Linked DNA regions of Bombyx mori. The protein of the gene in region 1 purifies or fractionates together with the protein of each later gene. This does not show direct contact. Links are inferred from orthologs where the notes say so. Each region holds a gene or a part of one and is shown in the gene's direction. Other genes may lie near its edges.

Evidence for each region. Proteins that work in one complex are often made in the same cells at the same time.
Region 2: the proteins of BmDJ-1beta (region 1) and phosphatidylinositol 3,4,5-trisphosphate 3-phosphatase and dual-specificity protein phosphatase PTEN purify together in Homo sapiens (affinity purification with western blotting; 4 studies listed by BioGRID, with this or other methods). This does not show direct contact. The link is inferred for Bombyx mori from reciprocal best matches to the Homo sapiens genes PARK7 and PTEN.

Annotation. Positions count from the first base shown.
Region 1 is NC_085129.1:16,172,637-16,176,607, forward strand, and holds the start of BmDJ-1beta (DJ-1 beta), read left to right. Parts: upstream 1-1,086; 5' UTR 1,087-1,088; coding exon of another isoform or gene 1,089-1,092; coding exon 1,093-1,179; intron 1,180-2,218; coding exon 2,219-2,338; intron 2,339-2,777; coding exon 2,778-2,892; intron 2,893-3,263; coding exon 3,264-3,409; intron 3,410-3,956; coding exon 3,957-3,971. UniProt on the Homo sapiens protein: Multifunctional protein with controversial molecular function which plays an important role in cell protection against oxidative stress and cell death acting as oxidative stress sensor and redox-sensitive chaperone and protease.
Region 2 is NC_085109.1:13,025,094-13,028,693, forward strand, and holds the start of phosphatidylinositol 3,4,5-trisphosphate 3-phosphatase and dual-specificity protein phosphatase PTEN, read left to right. Parts: upstream 1-1,081; 5' UTR 1,082-1,495; coding exon 1,496-1,733; intron 1,734-3,600. UniProt on the Homo sapiens protein: Dual-specificity protein phosphatase, dephosphorylating tyrosine-, serine- and threonine-phosphorylated proteins.

The DNA of each region.
Region 1 (3,971 bases):
CGAACAATTTTGTTTACATAACAAACTGTGTCCCTACAGGTATATATAATATAATATAGATATAATAATATATTGTTTAGGTTGTCGTGATAGTTTTTTCTAAGACTCGCAACGTTGTTGATGCATCATGTCGTTTTTCGGTTTCAGACATCGTGTCAAATTTATATTCTGTGACGGCTACCGCTGTTTTGTGCGCTTGTAAGGTTAAAAAAGTGTAGGTACCTCCAAATTCTAGTGCTCCTATTAAGGACATAAATAAATCATAAAAACAATTTATGAACCTAAATAAAATTTGCAATGGAAAATGATTTGACAATATGTAGGTCTAAGAGACCACAATATGTTGATGGATGCTAATTGATGGATGCTAAAATATTTGTGGGTGTTTTATCAAGCTAAGTTCATTTCGTTACGGAACCCTTCATAGTGTAGACTGTTATACACTTGACGATATAGGTAATTTTTTACAATGTTTCGAGCATAGATAATTTGTTTACACCATACACAAATAACCTTAGGCCTTAGATGATAATAGTAACGACAATTAATTGACAATACCTACACAATTTCAAAGGCAAAGTAGGTAATTTACTCTCTTATACACAGTCTATTATCTATGTATACTAGTAGGTACCGTACTTAAATTTAATCAGAAATTGTCAACTCGTTCATAATTAATATTTAATTTAGTAGTTATGTACAAATATGTTTATTTAATAAATATCAAGTGTATTATCTATGGTTCTCATGTTGCTGTTGTCATTGTCTACTCGTTCTAATTTATTTTTAAAAACTCTTGCAAATTATAGAGCTTTTAAATCAAGGTACCGAACTGTTTTAGCGGAATTTAATTGCATAAGTGGCGTTAACTACATTCACATTATAATCTAGCCGTGAATCAAGTGAAAATACCTACCAAAATAGAGGATACAACAAATTGAACCGGCATTTAATTACCTTTAAGAAAACTTTAATTATACTTTTATCGTAATACCTACTGATTACATAATACAGAAATAAAAACTATGTAATTTGTTGTTTGCACACTACATGCTTTTCTGTTTTATATTAGTTTATTTTCATTTTAGAACAATGAGCAAGTCTGCGTTAGTGATTTTGGCGCAGGGTGCAGAGGAGATGGAGACAGTTATAACTGTTGATATGCTGAGACGAGGAGGGGTTTGTAGTCAATTAATTCATTAAATCCGTTGACTGAATTTCCTTAGTTGGATTGTAATTAGACTTTTGCTAATCGACATATTTCGCCCGTCATGTGGTCTTGACGATCTGATAATGTGATTCCAGATAGCTGACTCTCGCTCGTCAATAAAAACTAACACCCTTTTATCAACTATTCAGTTACAATGGTCGCCGGGTAATCATGATGCTACCACAGCTGTCAATGACAAAGTCTAAAATCTAAATGACAAATAGACCAACACCTCAGCTGATCACTGATTGATAGTATTAGCAATATAATATAAAACTTATAGCCCTAGTCTCCTATTACTATAGAAAATTTAGTGTATTCTAAAATTGCATAATGAAAATCGACCATAAATTATCAAATAGTTGAATACTAGATCACTGCTTAATTGTAAATCTTAATTAAACAATAAAAAGTTACTACTTACTATATACTGATCAATTGCTGTTCTACTCGAATGTGCATCAGTTGCGTAATTGTTGTCCACTCCCAACTGCAACATCATTGAAATAGTTTTTTCATATTATGTTATCATAATGATGTTATGTGTATAAGAGTTATACTATGGTATTGGTTTGAACACTAAGGGTAGGATTGAAATCATGAATCTTTAAAATATTATAATACTCGGAGAGCATCCATACTCATAAAGAATATTTTTACCTTTTTATCATTATCTTAAAGGACGAAATCCATAGAATTTCAAAGAAATTGTATCAGGAAAGGAAGTGAAAATGAATTGGCTATGAACAATAAAAGATACTATATTGCTAAAACAAAAGGACATTGTATCTAAATGATTTACAAAAGAGAAGCTGCCTTTATTGGAGGACGAACTCCCAGGTCTCACAGCACACCTGCACACAGCTCATGCTCATTGCAGATTCCATAGTAAACAAAACAAAGGTTACATTCTATACCCATGAGAAGGAATATCATAGTGGTATTCTAACCAATGAGTAATTTATTATTAAGCTTTTTTCTTATTGAAAAGACCTTATTTCCCCATAGGTAACAGTTACTCTAGCTGGCTTGGAAGGTTCATCTCCTGTGCTGTGCTCAAGGCAAGTGACTCTAGTACCTGATAAGTCACTGACTGAAGCCCTCGCTGAGAAACAACAGTATGATGCTGTGAGTATCCTTACCGTTATCTTATACAGCAAAGTTCATTTGCAACTGCAGAAACTACATCATTTCTAGAAAAAAATTACAATAGTACACCCAATTTCTATGTTAACATAATTTAGAACCTGAGAACCTTAGAACCTAGAATTATGCACCCCAGTTGTGATTTTAATGGCTAATGATTCTGTTCTATTAGGTTTATTAAACATTTAGACGTAGCATAGGCATGATCCAAAATAAGATTAGCTAGTGACAACCCATAATAACCGGGGCACGAGTCACGACCATCACCTAGCCACAAATTAGATTCCCTGTCTTGCACCACCGTTTCAGTTGAAGTTGAAGAAAATACTTGGCATCATCAACTACAATGAATGTTACTTTGACAGGCGTTATATAGCACTGCAGGTGTCACCTATAAAAATAAATAATTTTCTCCAAACAGGTGATTCTACCAGGAGGCTTAGAAGGATCAGACAGTCTCTCCAAATCCGAGAAGGTTGGTGCTCTGCTTAAAGACCACGAGGATAATGGGAAAATCATTGCTGCCATTTGTGCTGGTAAATGAATTACTAAAAATTTTTTTTAAGTTTGCTTCCAATTGAGTTTGGAATACTAATGTTACCAATGGATGTCATCATCATCATCATCATCACAACCGACACCTCCTCGCCACTCCTCACCCGTTCCCAATGGATATACTAATTTTAAATTTCTAAACTACATGTTGACTTATTAATATTTTGTCCCGGTAAAGTCAACAATAAGTACAGTTGATTGAATAAGCCAATAGAAACATTTGTTTATAGACATAAGAGAATTCTCTTTCAATAAGCAACTACGTAAATAAAATATTAAAAACTATCTAAGGAAATATCGCAACATATATAATGTCACAGACATAATATGTAATTAAATGTTACATTGGCAGCTCCCATAGCGTTTGCAGCCCACGGCGTGGCGAGGGGCCGGCGCGTGACGTCATACCCCAGCACCAGGGACAAGCTGTCGGCCGGCGACTACACGTACGTGGAGGGGGAGAGGGTGGTGGTGGACGGCAACGTGGTCACCAGCCGGGTCAGTGATCTTATTATAAAGCTATAGGGGTTAAAGTATGAAATTGCCGTTCTATTGTAATAGGCACTCCAAATTGACATAGAACTTTTGAGTGAAACTTTTTTCAAATGGTACCTATAGGGTTCTTCTTTTGAAAAATGTGCAACATTCGATTATCGATTTTTAGTAGTTGACTCGATTCATGAATCGATCTTCACCATTATTGCTCCATGATAACGCGAGACCTCATACAGCACGAGAAACCGTTTTAACTCTACAGGAACTGCAATTAGGAATCATTTGTCATCCTCCGTATTCGCCAGACCTTGCTCCAACGGACTACCATTTTTTTCGTGATTTGGACAATTTTGTACATGGTAAAGAAAAACTTCGCAGTTTGTAGAATCTAGATCACCAGAGTTCTATCGCAAATAAATGACTTTCCTATTAGATGGCAGCAAAGTATAGATAATAACGTCATCAACAGATGACGTGGATTGATCAGTATGAGGGTCCCCTGAGGTCACGCTGTCCCTCCCTGTGTAACGCGGTCCTGTATGTTCCCCAGGGTCCCGGCACGGCG
Region 2 (3,600 bases), on another chromosome or scaffold:
TACAATACTTCATTAAATAAAATGCATTTTCATCTGCAACAGAACTTATGGCTGAACTTATGAACTGAATTTATTAGTTATACCTACACTTATCTCTATCTCTCGCAATAATAATCCATTGTGTTAATAGTACGAGAATAGAAAATAAATAACTAAAATAGTAATATAGTATCGTGTTAACAAACACAAGTTATAACTAACATGATAAATGTACTTATCTGCTTATATTTTTCAAACGCTAATAAGAATTGCACATTGCACGTTATATTCATAAACGCGGAGACCGATTCATATTACAATGTTCCCAGAGCTGGGTACGATTTCTAAGAAAGAGGTACTGTTTTATCACTTGATACAATTTTTATCTTGCTATGTAATATGAAATCGTTTTTTAATAATTTTGTATTTCTTACGCATTTCTTCTAACTTATTCGTGCTATTTGATTAGCGCAACTTGTGGTTTGTCAGTGAAACGGTGAAAATCTCAGTGAAACATCGAAAATGGTATATACCGCGAACCATTTGCGATGACTTAAAAAGGAAGGTATTTAAATATACCTATTTTTTAATAGTGTAAAGTGTTATTTTCATTTTCAATAGGAATATCGCTGGTAAGTAATGTACATACATGATAAAAAATAAGACGAAAGATTTGTGTTTCGTGTTTAATTGTTAAACTCACACGAAGGTACTTGAAGTAGGCGTATACTTCAAACAGTAAATTAACACGCAGTGCGTAATTTACTACATAATTAATAATGACATAGATATTACAAATCGAATATTACCATCAGCATATTTAAATTCTCCCGCTAAGTATCACAGATAAGAAATCGGTTAAAGCGCCATCTATAAATTAGAAGATCAAAGATAAATTTTTTCTTCGTAAATGCTGATAATGAATGCTGAAAAACCCAAACCATGATGAAAAATTATAAGAAATTTTAAAATAAAAAATGTATATTAAAATTACAAACATTGAGTATTAGCTAGAATTTGAATTCGGCGCTTGTTTCCAACGTAGAACTAGCGTCACCTTGGGACACAAAACAAAAACTTTTTGGAACAAAGAGCTTTGCTAGCTAGGAAACCACTACCAGAAAATAAGGTTGTGTGGCATCTCGGTCGTACATATACACAACGTGAACGAATGAAAGAGATGCTATATAGATGTCTGCCGTCAGCAGAACCATCTTAATTTCTCGTGCAGTTGTTTCGCCTCGACCGTGTTCTAGTGCAGTGCAATCGCAGGATGGACGCCATTCGCGCTAGATAATTTTTATATAAATCAAAAAGAAAAAGCGTCGTCGCACGGGCTAGGAGCTATGGTGATATAGTGCGTAGAGTGCGATTCCGTGGTGGTGCTTCAATCCGGCGGCGGCGTGGAGGTCCTCGCGGGGCGCGGATGGCGAGCGCGGGCTCGCCCGGGGGCACCGCTCGCGCTCCGCCGCCGGCCCGATGAGAGGGGCACGCTCCAAGCACCTCGACTCGTTTTATGGGTGTTTGCGTGAGCTGCCGGCGCCGAGAGCGGAAGATCCCAGAAAAGCGGTCGGTGCCGGGAGTGGTTGGGCCCGCTAAGGGCGCGGCGGCGGAGCTGCTGCCCAGGCCAGTGAATCGCTTTACAGCCATGGCAAACTCCATGTCAAATATCAAGATGACCAACCCGATAAAGAATATGGTCAGCAAGCGCAGGATACGCTACACCAAGCACGGATTCAACCTGGACTTAGCCTGTATCCTTTTTGTGTAGTGTCTGTAAAAGTTAATGTTACGTTGGAGTTCTGTGTGCTAGCCTCAGTTGAAGGTGAGTACTTTCCGTTCCGAAACTGAAGTTTAAGCTTCTAAAATTATTTCATTTATTTCATATATCTTTTAGTCATGTCATAAGTGAAACAATCCAATTTACTTCGATATGTGATGTTCCTCTCGGCTCTCTCAAGGGCACTCATTATAACCTATAAAAACACATCCGTAAATTCTCCCGATAATGTAACGATGTTTCAGGTTATAGAAGAGAAGGGCATTTGTAAAAAAATACATTTACATTAAATTATGTAGGAGTGTGTCTTGAAAAGCTATTTGAATAGTCTTAGGTTACAAGGCCTCGAGCTTACACCTATAAGAGTACTCATTCGCCGATCATGAATCTTGGCCTTGTAATTTTTTTCCAAAATAACACAATAATATTTAAAATTGTGCGAAAAACAAATAATAAACGAACCAGAAATGTTTTTGTTCAAAACTGTTAAAATCTGGCATGGCAACAACCAACATAACCTATAACTTATACATAGGTATTATGTTCTATATGATTACTCCAACTGTTTACATAGTAACTATCAGATAGTGGAGTGTGCTCTGTTAGAAATGTGTATCTAAGTTTCATGTAATGAAGACAGTAGATTTGCTATGACCATATGCAATTACTTTATATGAGTACTAGTATTTAACCATGTGTTCGTACACATAACATTGTTATGTATCAATGTGTGAGAATAAAGCAATGTTTACACTAATTATGCTTTTGAAGCACATTTGCACATTTGCATACTAATGGCAGGTTTAAAAGTGGACTGTTGCATCTTAATGCATTGCTTTGACATGTGTGGGCAAGATAGATTGTGCGTCATGGAATACCTGGTTATAGTGTTTGTGTATTAATTATTCATACACATTAATGTAATATGATAATGAAAGCTTTGAATTACCTTTATTAATGTAATAAAAATATAGGGCAATTTAAAGGCTTTTATTTTGAAGATATTCAAAATATGTGTGTACATATAGTGTGGTAGTGTACTTTAAAGAACTACACTATCGACAGTATGCTGAGAATTTTATTAAAAAAAAATGACTGTGAGTAGATTAAAATTTAGAAAAAAGAAAAACATTTAAACAAAACTTATTTGAAAATAAATATGAATAAAAATTACAAATTAAACTTCATGAACAGTTAAAAATATATGATGGATATGGATTTTTTTTAATTTGCATTATAGTAGATTATGTCTGGTATGGTTGGTGGTATGGCGGCCGTGTCTGTAATCAGTACACAGACCAACAAATTAGCTGATGCCATAGATTGGCAAACAGCTACACCTGCCCATGGACATACTTTATAACTTTATCTAAAGTTGGAATCTTTAATCCCGTAAGAGTATTACATGCCACGTCGAGTGTTTGTAGAAAACAGTAGTAGAAGAACTGTCTTTGTAGGTACAGAATTTCCTATTCTGTATCTATACAGAAAACCCTATTTCATCCCTGCGGAACTGGTGATCTTAATATTTTTTATTTAAACAAAATAAATATCTATATTATAATAATATCAGAAATTATGATTTAAGATATAATTTAATTGTAATTAGAGAAAATCTGTTGATATCTTTGTTTGTGAACTGAAATTTTGTAGTTACTTTTGTAGCTCATGGCAAGGTTCATGGTGAGTTTCTATAATAGTACCATTAGCGTACGCCAGGTGGCGCACAATAAATGTGCGATCCAGTTTGATAGAGAATAAAACAATATTAATGTTGATTAAATGAATCAATTAACAACTTGCATAATATAGTTAATTTTAAAATATTTGGATTATCCATT